Tribolium castaneum: one gene and its partners. The protein of the gene in region 1 purifies or fractionates together with the protein of each later gene. This does not show direct contact. Links are inferred from orthologs where the notes say so. Each region holds a gene or a part of one and is shown on either strand. Other genes may lie near its edges.

The links.
Region 2: the proteins of dre4 (region 1) and Duba purify together in Homo sapiens (affinity purification with mass spectrometry; 3 studies listed by BioGRID, with this or other methods). This does not show direct contact. The link is inferred for Tribolium castaneum from reciprocal best matches to the Homo sapiens genes SUPT16H and OTUD5.
Region 3: the proteins of dre4 (region 1) and Top1 fractionate together in Homo sapiens (co-fractionation; 3 studies listed by BioGRID and IntAct, with this or other methods). This does not show direct contact. The link is inferred for Tribolium castaneum from reciprocal best matches to the Homo sapiens genes SUPT16H and TOP1.
Region 4: the proteins of dre4 (region 1) and CkIIbeta fractionate together in Homo sapiens (co-fractionation; 4 studies listed by BioGRID and IntAct, with this or other methods). This does not show direct contact. The link is inferred for Tribolium castaneum from reciprocal best matches to the Homo sapiens genes SUPT16H and CSNK2B.

Annotation. Positions count from the first base shown.
Region 1 is NC_087398.1:7,050,800-7,054,158, forward strand, and holds the end of dre4 (FACT complex subunit spt16), read right to left. Parts: intron 2,564-3,359; coding exon 1,956-2,563; intron 1,902-1,955; coding exon 921-1,901; 3' UTR 790-920; downstream 1-789. Other genes in the region: Snx21 (sorting nexin-21), read left to right, coding at 1-323. UniProt on the Homo sapiens protein: Component of the FACT complex, a general chromatin factor that acts to reorganize nucleosomes. The FACT complex is involved in multiple processes that require DNA as a template such as mRNA elongation, DNA replication and DNA repair.
Region 2 is NC_087403.1:2,189,274-2,193,710, reverse strand, and holds the end of Duba (OTU domain-containing protein 5-A), read right to left. Parts: intron 3,271-4,437; coding exon 3,009-3,270; intron 2,964-3,008; coding exon 2,706-2,963; intron 1,515-2,705; coding exon 1,387-1,514; 3' UTR 945-1,386; downstream 1-944. UniProt on the Homo sapiens protein: Deubiquitinating enzyme that functions as a negative regulator of the innate immune system. Has peptidase activity towards 'Lys-48'- and 'Lys-63'-linked polyubiquitin chains. Can also cleave 'Lys-11'-linked ubiquitin chains (in vitro).
Region 3 is NC_087398.1:8,304,426-8,309,477, reverse strand, and holds the start of Top1 (DNA topoisomerase I, mitochondrial), read right to left. Parts: upstream 3,236-5,052; 5' UTR 3,130-3,235; coding exon 3,088-3,129; intron 2,795-3,087; coding exon 2,239-2,794; intron 2,064-2,238; exon of another isoform or gene 1,916-2,063; coding exon of another isoform or gene 1,911-1,915; intron 1,864-1,910; coding exon of another isoform or gene 1,784-1,863; intron 827-1,783; coding exon 552-826; intron 443-551; coding exon 413-442; intron 299-412; coding exon 18-298; intron 1-17. Other genes in the region: Rnmt (mRNA cap guanine-N7 methyltransferase), read right to left, coding at 4,884-4,960, 5,010-5,052. UniProt on the Homo sapiens protein: Releases the supercoiling and torsional tension of DNA introduced during the DNA replication and transcription by transiently cleaving and rejoining one strand of the DNA duplex.
Region 4 is NC_087397.1:979,123-984,020, reverse strand, and holds CkIIbeta (casein kinase II subunit beta), read right to left. Parts: upstream 2,869-4,898; 5' UTR 2,725-2,868; intron 2,517-2,724; 5' UTR 2,513-2,516; coding exon 2,441-2,512; intron 2,391-2,440; coding exon 2,288-2,390; intron 2,238-2,287; coding exon 2,046-2,237; intron 1,997-2,045; coding exon 1,807-1,996; intron 1,535-1,806; coding exon 1,426-1,534; 3' UTR 922-1,425; downstream 1-921. Other genes in the region: mitochondrial import inner membrane translocase subunit Tim17-B, read left to right, coding at 279-422, 467-820. UniProt on the Homo sapiens protein: Regulatory subunit of casein kinase II/CK2.

The DNA of each region.
Region 1 (3,359 bases):
TTTATACTGATCGGTCGCCGGTCGTGCTTATCGCTTTATGTAGACTGTTAGGGTGCTGCATGTCAATTCCCGAGTGTTCACAATGCCAAAAATGGGCTGATTTAGCCCTACATAGATATGAGGGGGTTAGTGATAGTGATTTGTTGGAGTTGTATGTACCTTTATTGAATGCTTGTATCACAATTTGGTGGCAGAATGGACGAAATAAAGATCTGCTTGAGCAGCGGTTGCAAGATTTGAAGAGACAAGGGGTCAAAATCAATCCGCAATCGACTTTGTTGGACGAAGTGAAGGCAGTGGAGGGAAAGATATTTGGGTTGTAGCAATTTTCACACCAGTGTTGTGTACTTAATTAGCATCGCGATATTTTACTGATATTGTTAACGTATTTATTTTGGAGTTTTATTTGTTTGACGACTGATATTTGCAGTTATGGGTAGCAATACTCAATATTTTCTGTTTTATTCACGCCTGAATATACATCTTGTTTATTTGCTTTTTGTTTTAGTACTTTGAGCAAAAAATAGATAATAATTTTTTTTTTGTACTTACACCGCGGGATAACTCACTCATACAACTTAAGTAGACCAAAAGTCCTCTCTGTTGTAAATATACCCACTTACCTCTCCCCAAAAATTCCAATTTCTTGCCAAATTTACAGCCGTAAAACGCCGTCAGTTTGTCATCAAGCAACAGCATTTGGTCTTTTCAAATTTATTACATGTTTTGCAATAACTTCATAAAATGTAATACACGAAAACTAAGAATTCCGTGCAAATTAAACCACGGTTTATATCAAAAGTTTAATCTGTACATTCAGTGGAAAGAACTTAGCCTGAACGAAACACAGAACTTGAAACACAAATCTCTAACATAAAAATAACTTATACAAATACAACGGTAAAAACAACTTCCTCGAATTACTTCTTCGACTTCTTGGACTTGTGTTTATCGCTGCTCTCCTCCCGACTGCGCTTTTTCGAATCCGAATGCGAGCTTCTGTGATGGCGGTCCTTGTCTTTCGAGGGTGAAGATTTCGATTTCGAACTTGAAGAAGATTTACGCCTATCACTATCTCTGCTGCTATGTTTCGAACTCGAATGTTTGCTACTTGAGGAATGATGGTTGTTTGAATGTTTGCTCGGCGAGCCTTTGTGGTTGCTTTTACTCGACGAGTGTTTGCTGGGTTTGCTCGACTTGTGATGCGACTTTTTCCGGTCGAAAGTATCGTCGAAATTGCGTTCCCGGTCCTCCTCGGCTGCTTCCCGCTCCAGGTCGGACCAGTCCTTCCCGGATTCTTCATCAGATCCTAGATCGTCCTCCCCGGAAGCGCTTTCGTCACTCTCCTCAGTGTCGCCTTCAGAGTATTCGGAATCTTCCTCGCTTTCTTCCGACACGCTTTCCATGTCGGTCGGTTCGTAAACTTCGTCCTCGTCCTCCGTTTCCTCCTCTTGGGCCTGGGCTTCTTCGTCCGATTCCGGGTCCAGGAACGTCCATCCGCCGCTTTCGAAAAATCCCTCGGGATCATCGGTGATTGTTTTCATGATTTTGACCCAGTTTAACGACTGGACACCTTCGGAGTAGCGGATGTCGCAAGAGTTGAGCCATTCTTTGACATGGTCCAGCATATTCATCGGGATGGCGTTCACCATTGCGGTTTTGCGTTGGTAGTCCTTGAAGACGAAAATCATATCGAAGTTTTTCAAATGGAATTGGACTCTTTCGAAGTGGACTAATTCGACGTCTTCGAGCGTAATTACGAACGGGGGCCATTCGGTTAAATTGACGAGGCAACCCGACGTCGGCTGGAGTAATACTGTGGACCTGTAGGGGGCTCCGGGAAAGCCGAGCTCCCGGAACGGCGTATCGAACTCGATTTCTTGTTTTGTCATCGCTTCGACCTAAAAATACGAAACACACAAATAAAAACACAAACAATCAGCTTATGAACCCACCTTTTCGCAAAAGCTCTTGAACGCCGTCTTCAGCTTGTGCCTCAACTCCCTCTCAGACTGCTCAGCAGCCAAATCATCCCTATCATGCATATGCTGGTGTTTGCCTAAATCAGTCGTGATTTCACCTACTTCCGTGTAAAACTGCACGTCCACGTGCTTCTTTTTCCCGAACATGATCGCATGCTTCAGGTGAAAATGCAAAAGTATGATCATTTCACCGTCGCAAGGTTGAAAGAATGCATTCTTAATATTATTGTATAAAATATCAACTTTGTCGCCTCTGACTGAAGTGTACCGGAAACCGTTACTGTGAGCTTCCAAAGCGCCGGTCATACGCTTTGTGACGATATTAGGTCGTATGTAAAGATCTTTAAGCTTGGGATTGCCCTTGTTCTGCGACAAGACCAGCGTGTCTTGTTTAACAAGATCTTCTTTTTCGCGTTCTTCCGCTTCGCGGGTTTTGAATTTTCGTTGTACTTCCTTGATTAGTCGGAATGCAGTGTTTAGGTTCGAAGAGGGAGGGGAAATTTCTCCGGGCTCTTTGGTGTTCAAACTGCGGTAGGTAACTTCTTTGACGAAAGTGGCTTCAGGCTGCTGGTAGTTGCCACCTTGAAGTAATAAACAACCACAGTTAAAATGAAAATTCATAGATACAAACTGTGGCGTCATCTCAGCTAAGACACCCTTTCATAACAAATACTTTTTAAATCATTCTTATTCGTTTTTGAAAAAGTGCAAAAGTGTAATTTTTCAAATATGTACAATTAACTGATGATAAGATGAGACGATGAAAGGATTTATCGAAAAATTGTTCGTTTTTATGGCACTATTTATAAATATAGTGGCAGGACTTCGGCACTGTATTATTACGACGTACAGTGATTGTGAATAACGCCACAAAAAATGGACCAATATTCTTAAAAAGGAATAATTTTTTACGGTAAATACCAGCGTCACATCGTGTGACAACATAACGCAAAATGTTTGCATCTTAATTCGATTTATTCAAATTTTTGATAATATTTTTACAGTACTTTCCTTGAATTCCACAAATAATTTAGATCAAATTAAAGTGAAAAATTACAAAAAAATAGAGGAGGTACAGTCAGATGTGTAAAATATCTGATTAAAAATTCGTCATAATTAATCGCGACTTCTCGACTGCAACTCAAAAAATGTTAAATTTTGGTGTATTAAACTTTTAAATCGTCAAAGAATCGACCAATAAAAGTTTAACTTGCAAACAGAATTACAAGTTACAGCAAAGAACTAAAGATATTACACATTTCGTTTAAAAACATTAAACTTGTAATTTTTATTTGGAAAACCATAATTTCAGGTGATGCAGAAGCTTAAATAATGACCATAAATTTGATACAAATTTACTTAAATATTTAAACAGAT
Region 2 (4,437 bases), on another chromosome or scaffold:
ATGTTGCACTTCTACACGCATGAGACAACGCACAACATTACTATACACTCGTGCGCGTTATTCACCTGCTCCAAACGTTTATTGTGTTCTTATAATTGCTATCTATATTGCTTATCACAGTTAAACTGCGATAAAACTGTACACTGATAGCCTAGCTGCCACACAACCGTCAAAATTACAACGTCTTACCGACTACTGCTACCAACAACAAACCGAACTCTAGTATCAAAGGTCTTCACCCCGAGCTCGCCAAACGCCTTCATATCACACATTTACCGAAATAAGTGCATTTCGGACTAGCACTGGACTCCACCAACCGATATTCTCCTTATTTTTCTCAAAATCACTGCCTGAACAACACCAACTGGCAACAGCGCCTCCGCCAGGCCCGGACTCCGCACATTCGCCCCTCCACCAGCTACAAGACAGAGAGCAACCCCACGTCATGTAAACAAAACACAAGTTGGCACAAATAACCAACGAAATTCAGAGAATGGGGCAAATCCCGCCGAACAGTCACCATATTTTCCCAAATTATTGAACATAGCCGGTCGTTTGTGACGAAAATTTAAATTGGCAATAGGTGGCCATGGCACACGCGTGCGCAAATTGGCAACACGCACATGTTAGTCAAGCTGTCCTAGGCCCGCCCCTGTTATTAATTCAAATAATATTTTTCTTAGCGAATTTCTCTTTTGGCATTGTAATTAAGTAATCCAAGCACACCATTATGGGATATGCATGTTAAGTACATTACGATGTTGCTAAATATTTTCTTCCTAATATGCATACAAATTACCTGAGTGGAGCATCCACGTTAATTATTCTGTTTTGAGGGCAAAATATTTAACGACGTGACGAAATACCTATAATTTGGTATGCAACAACCTTGGTTGTCTTAATTTTGGGTGTGACCATGATTAGTCCAATTATGAAACGCCAAATATCACAACAATTTTATTTGAACGAAACTGAAATACATTGGAACTCATAAGTACATATACTTATAGATATCTGAAAACATAAATAAAATACTTTTTGACACTGAAATTTAGAGGGCGAAACTTACATCCGTGAAACAGTGTCTCAAAATATAACATTTTGAATTTTTTTTTACAAACGACCCCCCCACAATCCATGCAAAATCGAAACTACGGTACTAGAAACGAAAGCTCTTTCTCCAAAAAAACGAAACTAATCTTCTGGGTGGAGGAAGGTCGTTTTAACTAAAAAACGATTATAACATGCCAATACAATTTTACAAGATATGCATTTTATATAACAAAACAAAGCAATTGCATACCTTGAAAAGCAAACAATGAACCTTAATTAACTAAAAATGAAACGAAAGCACGAACATGTAACTCAATTAATTTAGTATTTAAACTAGGATGAAGTGGATGGTCCCGGAGATCCATGACGCTTCTTGGATCGCTGCTTAAGTTCAGCTAAGTAAGTTTTGCGCGACTCGGCCAGCACTTGGGCCATGATTTCCTGGTCATAATTGTCGTAATCTGTAAAAGTCACACACATTTTAAAATTAAATATTTCCGTGCATTTCCGCCAGATGTTTTCGGCTTGATGACAAAAGTTGACATTTTAGCGAAATTTTATTTTAATAAATCTAAATCGATTCGCCGGGCAAAAAAAATACGAGAATAAAACATTCATAACCATGCTTAAATAGGAAAAAAGAGTAAATGAGATAAATAAAATGTAAATGAAACAAAAAAAATGAGAATGAAAAAAGGGAAGTAAATAATAGTAAAAAGAATAATGCATTTTTTATTGATATTTAATATGCTGTTTGGTTGTATAATGTATAATACTTAAGATTGCTTGTTTTTTTTCGTACAACAGAATGTAACGGTAAATATTTTTTTCAATTACGTGTGGCTCTGGAAAAATAAATAAAAAGGAGATTTTTAATGTGTGTTTTCTTTAAATTGTCTTAAATTGTGACTGTCAAATATGTGGCATCATTGTCTAACAGCCGGTATCGGAAGTGTGAAACATAAAAACATTAAAAAAGAGTCAACAAAGTAAATTTGTATGCCCATATTTTTTATAATATAAATGTAGGAATTTTTTAAGATTTTTCCTGTAATCTACATTTGCTTCTCAAGAACGTGGTGCGCCAGTTTTTAAGTGCTCTGTATATTTTTTAAATTTAATCACTCACAATATGCAAAAAGTACAAAATAATATTCCATGTTTTTTTAAAAGCTTCCCCAAAGAATATATCTTAAATTGTCAGATACTTTAAATTACAATAACGTAATTAAATTGTAGTATGTTATAGCGAGTGACACATGAAGAAAAATTGTAAATGATAATGTTACTAAGTGAAAAAATATAATAACAAGTATAATAAAATAATAAAAGTTCAAAAGTTCAAAAAAATAAAAGTCAAAGTCATTAGTTTTAAAAGCTGCATCCAAAAATGCAAAAAATATAGGTGGTCCATTTAGCTGTACCTACAGCTTTTACAAGCTCTAATCTCTTCAGGAACCACGATTTTTGCCCAATTACATGTGGGCTTAGAATTTTTCTAAGCTAACCCTACCGTAATAACTCGATTATCCTGCGATGAAGCAGCGCATTTGGCCGGAGGGCTAGCTGAAAAAATCGCTAAAATATCAATTTTTGTCCGAAAAATGCACTTAATCGACGTCCATTTTGTTTGAAGCAAAAATCAGACAAACCTATATCACCGCGGTTTGATGGCCCGGCCCCAGCCGACTGATCCGAATCGGAATCAAAATCAAATTTAAAGTCCTCGTTGAAATTTTCATCATAGTCCGGGTTATTAACATCCTCGGCCGGGGGCTCAGAACGGCGCGGCGAAAATTTCGGAAATTCCTCCGGTGGTCCACCGCAGGCTCCCGCCACATCGCCCCCGCTGACGTCGGCCTCATAGCGGCTAGTCGATGGGGACGGCGCCCCAGCGCCTCGGGGGCTCGCTGCAAGGAAATGTTAAAAAACGCCATCGACTCACACTTGAGTACCTAGTGGTGTTGTCTTTGGCGAGTTGGACCCTTTGGGGGACTGCGATCCCTTCGGGGAGACCGAGCCTTTCCTCGACGAGCGCGAGCTGGACATGGTTGCTGATGTTATCGTTGAACTGCTACCACAGGAGTGTCCTTGGTTCTTCAAACGGCGTTCTGAGTCGCGAAAATATTGGATGTAGGACTCGCGAGCTACCTGTTCTTCGATGGCTTCGTTGGTGGCTTCAAAGTCGGTTGCTTTCAACTTGTCTTCTAGCATAGTCTAGAAAGATTCTGATTAGTCAAGACAACTGTCAATCAGGGCGCCAATTTCGGGTCTCACGGATGCACGTAACTAGATCCACGACAGACGAAAAAAAATATAATAACCTTTGTAATACAAAGCTAACACTTAGTAATTCAAAACAACACTATCTGTACGCATATATCACGTCGGAAAAAATTAATCTTCTAATATTTCCGAGTATTGTATTATACACCAACAGCCAATCAGAGAACAGAAACGTCCCGGACGATTATACCGCCATCTCGCGTCCACATACTTGTTGAAATCCCGCCACCAAAACTTGTAAATTTGTTAATTTATATGTGAAAATGTGTGCCTGGGTGTTTTTTTATGTTTGTTTTTATATTTTGCTAGTGAACATTGCGTGGTTTTTGAGTTTTCAACGTTGGCACCCCCTACTAGACAATGTAGTGATAGCAGTGCGGTACACAACTTAATTTGAATATTACATCGAAACTGTTGCAATAATTCACTTTGTGTGGGTTTAACAGTGCAAAGTGCAACCCCGTCCCAATTCACCGAAAAAATGGTATGTATAACCTCACATTCATTACGCCTAGTACGCTTAGTAATTTGACTTAAAAATGGCACTTACAAGGGATTGTGACTTGTCCCTGTGTGGATTTGAACGCACAGATAAGTTTAAGCGGTGAAAAAAACGCCTTTGTCATTTCTTACGTGTCGCTTCGATAAATGTAGATCGAAACACAGTGTAATAAAAGCGGTGCTGTACAGTGTGTCTCAAAATGTACCCCCATGGCTACAGATACGTTACACTCTCACCGGTTCTGAAGTGTTATTTCTGTCAATTTTATGACATCGCTTGTGGTTAGTGAAATGTTTATTAGGATTTATTAGTAATTTAATTTATTAGTAATACTGGCGTAAAAGCAAAAAAAAGTCTGAGCGAAGTGTGTACACGAATTCGCCTTAACTCGAATTTTACTTTTTTAAATTCGGATAACGAGGTTTCACTGTAGAATTTTTGTAATAAGAATTCGATTCCTCAAAATACATAAAAAAACGTCCAAAGCGAGCTAGTAGCTTCATTTTACATTGTAATAATACTGTAATGAGCGCGAGTCTAGGTTTTATGTGGGTTTTGTTGTACTTTTATTTATTTTGAAGAAAGTGATAGGCGTA
Region 3 (5,052 bases), about 1.3 Mb from region 1:
CTAAATTTCAAACTCACCATTTCCACACTTCTTGCGGTTCCTCTTCCTTCTTCTTCCGCCCACCTTTTTTAGGGCTTTCATTCTCGGTCTTGATCGAGTCTTTCTCTTTCTTAATTTTCTCTTTTTTCACTGGTCGGTCCCACTCTTCTTCATCATCCTCTACAGATCTCTTCTTTTTCTTCTTTTCAGATTTCTCCTTCTTCTCTTTTTTTGGCTTCTTTCGCGCATTTAACGGCATGTCATCTTCATCGTCCGACTCAATTTTTCTTTTAACTGACGTATGTTCCATTCTGGCGGACTAAAAATGCATCAAATCAGTAAAAAAATACCAACACCATGCAAAATATTAGTCAAAAATCAAACTAAAACTGTTAACACCACTAAACAAACATTAATACTTCAAAAAACCTACCAATCTGTGTCTGTGAGCGAATGGTTTTCGCTGAAAATACAATTGAACATTAATGACTACAAAGATTACAAATTATTGTCCTTAGCAATCGTATGATTTTTATTTACGTAAAGACGATAAACTTGAATGAAACACCTACCAGAGGCAAATCTTCATCGCTGTCTTCTTCCTGCTTCACATCAGCAGTGCTATCTTCAAATCTTGACTCGTCCGATTTAAACTGAGACAAATTGTAATCACAGCTGCTCGCAGCTGAAGCATTTTTGTCGTCGACTTCATCTTGAGACTCGGGCTCTTCTTTGATGATGAGTTTGTTATCATCTTCATCGACCGAATCCTCTCTTGCGGAATCTTCTCTTCCCACGTCGTTTTCATGTTTTGAATGGTTCTTACTCTTCTTTTCTCTCTCATCGTCTGACAGTAAAAAATTGTTTAATCAACATTCCATTCGCGTAAAATGTGTAAAATTGGATTTTACGGTTAGTTAAAATTATTGTCACTTGTCCCAATTGGATTTTGGCCAAGTTTTAGAAAATTGGACTCCGAATTGTTTAATTTTTATTATGTAATGAACCGATTCTTTTAATTTATTTCTTCCAAATCGTAACAAGATACGAAAGTTAATCTGCTGGTAATTAACAACTATCTAACAAATTGTTGCATATCAAAGAGTAATTGCTAACCCAATTACAGAGAATAATATTTATATCTACAGCAAATGCAAAGAAACCTTTAATTCACAATTTGTTAATTAAATAAACATTTTGACTAAATAATAAACTGTTGCCAATTATGATCTAATGATGGATTAAGTGATTTTTTTTTATATACTAAGGACTCCATCACACATGAACAAGATATGATTAATTAACATCAACGAGATGCGGGACAATCACAAATATATCATTTGATATTTTAAAACACTGATAAAAAATGTCAAGGTGCTTAAAACCGCTCATTTTAGAATAACAAACGACATAATAAATTAATTAAATCAATTATTTCAATAATTACTGAAAGTTGTTTCGGGTCTTCGTGTATTTATTCCTCAACAAAATGAACAAACAACCTACATATGGTCTAAATCTAGTTATTGCAAAAATAAGAATTGTTTTCGAACATTCGTAGTTTGCATTTCAAAGTGAGACGTGAGCTTGGTTTTTCAATGTCTTGGATAAAACACGTTTCTTAAAGGATGTTACAAAAATTTTAAAATTCAATACAATGTCTTCGTTATTTCGCATAATATAAAGCAAAAAAATGCATGAGCAGCTTCGAATATTGTTTTTGTTTAAATAATGCATAAATAAGCGTTCAAAAACCGTATTAGTCCTGTCGGTGAGTGACTTAAAGACAATTAAAATTACGTACCAGCTTGCGTCAAAAAACATTGATTTTCGTCCACAATTACGAAGATGGTTACATTTTTCAAACATGCCTTATCTACATACCTGCAAGCCATTACAGTGATTAAAAACTCGAGTAGGTTTTTATTTACCTCATGTTGAAAATAATGATTCGAGCGTTCTAAAAATTTGTATTTACAAAAATTTTGTCAAATCAAACTGACTCGAAACTATGGACACAATAAAACAATAACAATACGATGAAACTGTGCTCAAACTTAACATTTTTAGTTAAAGAGTGCAAGGTTTAGGCCTAGAGCAAAAAATAACACCTACAAAAACTGACAATAGCCACTACTTTTGTTAAAATTTTAGTTAGGAAAATTTGGATACAAACCCTTGGCCATTTTTGCAGATGTGTTTTATGCTTTACGCCCTCTGGAAATAATTTTTTAGCAAATGAGGTAAAAGTTAAATTACCGTAGGATTTCTCCGATTCTTTCTCGCTCTTCCGCTCCTTGTTCTTGTCCTTCCGGTCTTTATCTTTGGAGCTGGAATGATGCTTGTCCTTGTCTCTGTGCTTGTCTTTGGAGCTGCTGTGGCGGTCCTTGTCCTTATCCTTCGAGGAGCTGTGCTTGTCTTTATCCTTGCGCTCCTTGTCTTTCGAGCTCGACTTGTGGTCCTTATCGTGCGAGCTTTTGTGCTCCTTTTCCTTGTCCTTCGAGGACTTTTTCTCGTCCCGGTGCTTGTCCTTGTCGCGGTGTTTGTCCTTGTCGCTGCGCTCCTTGTCCCGACTTGAGGACTTGTGTGAACTGTGGCGTTCCTTATCTCGGTCTTTGTCCTTCGAACTGGAGCTATGCCGGTCTTTATCCTTCGAGCTCTTGTGCTCTTTGCTTTTACTTTTCTCCTTGTCTCGCTCCCGGTCCTTGTCTCTGTGCTTGTCTTTATGCTCCGATTTGTGGCTCTTCTTGTCCGAGTAGCCGTTTATGCCGTTCACTTGGGCCGTATCGCTGTTATACTCCTTCATCTTGTGGCTCTGCACCAAAAAACGTGCAAATTATAAATGGAGCCCCCCTCGATTTCGCCCCAATTGAACCGAAAGCAGCGAAAAGAAGCCGTTTAAATGCGTAATCTCGGTTTATCGCGAGAAAATTCTAGACCTGATGCCACAAACGTGGGACTTAGTCTCTGACGCCATTTTGGGACTTAGAAAAATTTCGCTCGAACGCTGTTAGAGCACGAGGAAAGCGCCCTTATTTCACACAAGCGGGAAAATGTGGACGAGCCGAAATTCGCGGAATTAAATTCTAGGCGAGATTTTGTACTTACAGGACTGGAATCTTCCCCATTTGCTCCGTTTTCGACTTCCATCGCTTCACAGATTGAACGAGGCAAACACTTAGAATCCTCGTTGGGGAAACGCAGCGAACGCTTTTATGACAAAGTACGCGATTTTGCGTAGTGCGCACGCGCCGCACTCAGAGGCAATAACCTGTAGCGCGCCAGGATTTGAATTTCGTGCGTTCAACTTTGAACTTGAAAAGTAGACGAATGTCACAGTCAGCTGCTTGAAATTTATTGCAGAGATTCGGGAGAAAGTTCATGGCTTTAATCGATGATGAGTCAGAGGATGAGCGCACTTTTGGGTTCATGCACAGCTTTTGCGGACCGTTTTTTGGAATTAATGTTTAATGGGACGGTTACGTAAAGTATTGTGCACTTGTTGCATTGTAATATTTCGAACAAGATCATCGAATACACTTTTTTTACCTCCTCCCACATAACACGTGTAAATTTAGTTCGAGCTGAGAAAAGCTACCTATTGTTGTTTCAAAAATTTCTTCTATTATTGTCAGGTTTACCTGACTTTCTGGGAAAACTCATTCGAATTGTTTCCTTTTGTTACCTCTTTTAGAAATAGCACCAGAAATAGCTTACTCCTTACATCAAAGAGAAAAATGTTCCGCGTTCCACTTTAAGACCAACAATTTTTAAAATATTTACTTAAAGTGTAAACGTTTTAAAGCGCCTGAAAGCAAAACTGCAATGTCAATCGACTTCGGGTTTTTTCTATTTGGTAAAAAATTAAACAGAGATTTGATTTGTGGCATTATTTTCAAATAAGACTCGGCTGACGTCTTGAAAACCGAACTTCTAGAATTTATTTTCAGCTGCTATTTTTTTGTATGCTTTAAATGGCATTTAAAATTATTTAGAAATGCTATTCAGTTCTACTTTTAGACAAGTAAAATCATAAATGTAGCAATTTTTTATAACTATTTACTGAAAACGTATTGATTTCAATAGAAACGAATCCTGAAAAATATGAGATTGACATCGCCCACGATAAACGCTTGAATATTGAGAATACCGGAACTCTTTTCAAATATATTTCAGAAAAGAGGAATAAGCTTCAAATATAATAGATAAAATATTTGTACAATGTATACAGTGAGCGGCAAGTCTTCTAAATTTAGTTGTCTACTTAATATATTTAAAAGAAAAACGAAAGAACTGATAAAAATACTCTTAACAAAAAAAGTTATTAAGATTTTGTTTGAAATCTATTTCCATGATCATTTGGTGAAATAACAAATTTATTGTGTTGTTTTTTGGTAGTATTTAAACGTAAGATAAGATGTAACATGTAATTTATTGAAACGATCAAAGAAAATTAGAGGTTTTCATAAAAAAAATGTGTCGATAGCGACGTTATTCGAAAACCAAGACAAAAATTTTAAATTCTGTTTAATAAGATTATTCCATATTTTTGCGGCCCACTGTACAAGCAAATTATAGGTGGAATCTATTTTTTTAATATTTTTTTTGCTTCGTGTTCAGGTTCATTATTTTTTTCGAACTCGCAAATTCCTTAAAACGGCACACCTAAGAATAATAAAAAAAAGGAATAATCCATAAAGCAGTACTATAGCAGTGGTTTAAAATGTGCAGTAACAAAAAAATTTGAAAAAATTGCCTTGGTCTCCAAATGATTTGACTATTAGTATTACACCGATATTATTTCTTATACATTAAAAAATGAAACAATATATAAAAGTCACCAGTTTTATTATTTCAATAAATAATAGTCTTCTTGTACTAAAACTGTACATTTGGTTTACTACTTATATATCATAAACAGGTGTGCCATCCGTATTCCACGTATTCTTCACCTTTTCAAAGACAAACAGCATATACAAGGCTGCAAAAAACAGTCACCTCACAAGTGATTTAAATAAATATCAACTTACAAGAAGCCTCCCACTCTGACTTGGACAACGTCCCAATTTTTCC
Region 4 (4,898 bases), on another chromosome or scaffold:
GACCAAATCGTGGCATTCACACAGTTTAAAGACCCAACCAAGGGGTAAATATTAAATGGAAAATTTCAAAACGGTGTTATGACATGATTCGATCTTTCGACCTCCAGTCAAAGTGAATGCGGACGGTTTGTAAAAAACCACAGATTTAATGCAAACAGTGACTCAATTGACCAAAAATCGCCTGAAATTATAATTCCACACGTGCGAGGTACGTGACTACGAAAAATCAACCCCCAAATCATTTTTTTTTCTGTAATTTTATGGTTAGGTCACTTTTGATGGAGGAATACACGCGTGAGCCATGCCCCTGGAGGATCGTGGACGATTGTGGGGGCGCCTTCACTATGGGGCTCATCGGCGGCGGCGTTTTCCAGAGCATTAAAGGCTTTCGCAACGCCCCTTCGGGTTTCAACAGACGATTTGTATGTGCCCCCTTTCACAAGCCCGTGGTGATTTTGCGTTTTAGGTTGGCAGTTTGGCTGCTATCAAGCAACGGTCCCCTATAATCGCCGGCAACTTTGCCGTTTGGGGCGGCATGTTCTCCACAATTGACTGCGCCCTAATCCACATTAGGAAAAAGGAGGACCCCTGGAACTCCATTATAAGTGGGGCCGCGACTGGGGGCATCCTCGCGGCGAGAAACGGGCTCCCGGCCATGGCCGGGAGCGCCTTCATTGGGGGCGTTTTGTTAGCTTTAATTGAAGGAGTCGGGATTTTGTTCACTAGGTTGTCAGCGGAGCAGTTCCAGCCGCAGATGCCCCCCATGGAGGACCCCTCCCAGCTGAGGGGGCAACAGAACGGGGGCTACTCGTTCCAGTAGGCGCGCGTGTGTTTGTAGATAAATTTTTGTTTAAGGCGTAAATATAAGTTTATTTTGATCTGTGTTTTATTTATGTAATGGGTCAAATAAAGATTCTTACGAAAAACAGAAAATTTTATTTGATAACATGCGAATTCATAACTTAGTCTTGGTTGTGATTACCTTAAGTAAAAATACAGAACCTAGGTTTGCTTCCTATGTTTTATTTAAAATGTGTTATTTATACATCTTAGATTACGCTGTGTGATTGAAAAATTCAGACTTTTGACCACTCTATTTACTAATTAAGCTCAGGCATGACACACCAACTCATCTGAATTTTTTAATCAGTTATTTACAAACTTGAATGCTAGTTAATTTTACACGAAACCGGTGACGCTTCTAAATTAAACTATCCTTACATTTATAAAAACAAAACTGGGAAATTTATTATACATTGAACCCTATTTATAAAAATGATGGAATTTTTGCACATTTTTAACCTTATGCAAAGTTAACGCCATACAAAAGTATGAAAGAAAATAATCAAGATTTAATTTCATACATACAAGAATACACAAATTTGGGGTAGAAATAAATTAAATCAAATGTATACACCTTTTAAATTAACGTTTACCATTATTAAAGTTCAAACTTCTCAGAGGCGCCTTAAAAGTCGAGGCTGCTTGCTGTTGCAACTGGTAAGCAAGGGGATGAATTTTAAAACCAAATAACCTGAAATCATTTGTTGAAGAACAATTCTAAAAAAATCAAGTGAGTCTAAATAAAAGCGGGGTCAAGACAATGCTTTAAAAACAACGAAATAAAAAAATGACTAATTTTTCGTTTCGTGTAAAGTTATTGAGGATTATTATACGTAACATCCCAAAAATTCCGAAATGAAGTAGGTTTTGACTTCTCAGTTGTCACTTGATAACTGACAATATTAAATTCGCCAAGCACTCTTGACCAGACTTTCAATTAGACTCACGCCAGTTCGGCTATACCTAGGAACAAATTGATTTGTTGGACGCTTTGGCCTGTATTCTGGGTGCACCATGAAGAGCATGTGAGGGAAACCTGTCCCAAAATAGGCCCCATCTGTATGGTGGTGCCTTGAAGACTTTGGTGTGTACACATCCATACATTTGGGGCAATATGACTTGACCATTGCCTCCCCAGGTACATCAGACAGCCCTAAAGCACAAACCATTACCCAAAAAAATACCAAAAGTGTTGGGGTTACCCAAAGGCAGCATTGCCTGCGATTCGCAGTAAACTCGTGGACAATACCCAAAATCCCCAGACTGGTATTTTTCAATCATTTGGGCGATCCCCCGATTTGTTAAAATGTACCTAGCGTGTATTAACCCATAAAGCATCTCGGCCGCTTGCTCAATCAGGTCGGATTGGTTCGGATTATCGTCAAGTTCATCATCTAAAAAGCCGAGTTAAAAAAATGTGAAACCAGGGATGGGTTCAAAATACCCGGTTCTAAGTCTAGTATCATATCAAGAGCTTGCCTGTAGTGCGGAACTTGCTCATTCAAGCCCGTCAAGTTAAATTTGTCCTGTATATAATCCTCATCCACCTGCAAATACACTCAAAAATCTCGTCTTTAAAACAGGCAAATTCATTTACTTCGCAAAAGAATTCATTTCCTCTAAGTCCGCAAAACCATGAAATCCACGAAACCTCCTCTGAGCTGCTCATTTTCCTAAAACATTTCCGATTTATTTAGAAAATTGGAATTTTGAGACGGTTGTGGCTGTCCAACCCTATGTTTAGATTACGTTTAATGACATTTGTGACACAACTACGACGTTAATTTCCCATTTTTGGGCTTAGAAGGGATGTGGAGGGTTGGCAAATGACGAGATTAGGGCTAAATTGTGATCGGGGAAAGAAATATTTGAGAATTTTACCTCTTTGTACCTTGATTAGCCACGCTTACGCTACTTCATCTACGCGAAAAAAGAGTTGATGTTGGGCTCATCTAGCGGAAAGTGACGGCATTAAATGACAGCTTTAACCGCTAAGTTTGAAAATTACAAGTGGGATTTTTTAACTACAGTTAAACCTCAGAACGGCGTGCACAACTTATCACACACGCAAACGGGGTTGCATCCAAGAAAAAATCAAAAATAACTCACCCTCGCGCTCACCCTGTATTTTTTTCTATCCATACAGTAGTATTAATTAATCAAAAATATTCACTTATAAAATGTTTTTTTTATTTTCAATACAATGTACCGTTATCAAAATTTCATATCAACTTCATTAATCAACATATTATGTAATAACTTTTGCACTTTTGCATTCATGTGTGTCTTAACTTATTAAATGAGACTTTTTCCAAGATTTTTTTCAACTTGGCATTTTCAAAATAGGCAGTTTAAGACTCCGCCCGGCATTATAAATCTTCTACAATCTTCTACATTAATGTATTACTTCTTTTCAAACCTGCTAAGAGCGTTTTTTAACATCAGCAATTCTTCTTTCTCCAAAATTATTATTATTATTATTATTATTATTATTATTATTATTATTATTATTATTATTATTTTTATTATTTTTATTTATTTTTTTGAGCTCATTAGGATAGCTTTTTAGCTGCTTATTAAAGTTTTTTTTGAAAATGTTCAGCACGTTTGTTGCAACTTTTCGAAAAGTGTGGATGTGTTTCCAATAAAAATCTCTGTATAAACACTATAATTTTTTTCTGAAAATAAAAATGACCGATTTGCGCTCCGCTCTCTAAACATAGTCAACCATAAATAATTTTCTTTTGATGACATTATGTAACCCAAAACCGTGAAAACTAGATAAAAATAGTGAAAATCGGATCATTTCCCTATTTTTAGTTTGCGCAGACGGCCGGTCTAGTCGAAGGCTTTCCTAGGCGCCGCGACGTCGTCACCCGAATTATTAAGTGACATTTAATTCCATTTGAACCGGACAATAAACTTTTAACCGCCTATTGTTAGTTGAAAAGTGAAAACCCAATCTACTTTTAGAAATCTGCTTGCACAAGTGGGACGTGCTAGTTGCGGTTTTTGAAGACTGTTGACTCATAAATAAATTCTGGCTCTTTTGTTATCATTATTTAAACAAAGGCTAAATTACACCAAAATGTAGTAATTGGTTTATTGTGATTGTTAATTGCGAGTCAAGGTTGTAGCAGATTATTTATTGTTCGGCTTCATTCTCTTGTGCGGGAGAGTGTTGTAAACAAACAAGTGGTTATAATACATTGCATTTTCTTCCACGGTGTGTTTAGTTAATTGGAAGGTTGTTGTCGCTTGTACTGTAATTGCAGTGTTAGTGCGACGATGTTTTTCTGAAGCTGAGTGGGTATGAAAGACGGCAGGAAATTACAAAAATTAATTCAATGTCAGTGAGACGATGACGCTCCACATCTAATTTTTTAAACAAAGTTCGAGGTAAGGCGCTCTTATAAAATGTGATTTTCCTTATCTGCTCCAATTAATAATGTTATCACAAAGCAATTTCGCAGTACTAACTATCAATAACAATAGCGTTTCAATTGTAATTATTGTTTTTCCTAAAATTACAATAGAAATCCGGTTCAAACCGTCGTAATTTAATGTTATGTTTGATGCATCCGAGCGTACAATTTTGTATCTGGGCCATTGATCTGGTTGTCTATTCACATTCTTCCGTCCTAATGAGTTTTTAATTAATTGTAGCGTCACATAAAAGGGCTCACTAGAGTTCTTAATTGAAAATTCTTGAAACGTTTTTAAAACTTCTTTGAAATATCGTGTAATAAGTATAGCGGAAGTGGAACGCAAGTTCTAGGTCTTCAGGTTAGTATTAACAATCAGTATGATAGTGAAAGTACAGTGTACAGTTATGGATTAAAATAGTTACGTAGCACAGGAAAATCTTTTAAAACTTTTATCAGAAATATTTGGACGTCAGTTGAGGTATTTGTTGTTGTCACAAATGGTAATCACCCAAATTCCTTCCAAGCATTTTTTTAAATTAAATGTGTGTAACGTTCAGCCACTTGTAAATTATATTTAGTTTCGTGTTGTTGTTTAACTGATTATATATTTCTTAATCGGGGTTTTTG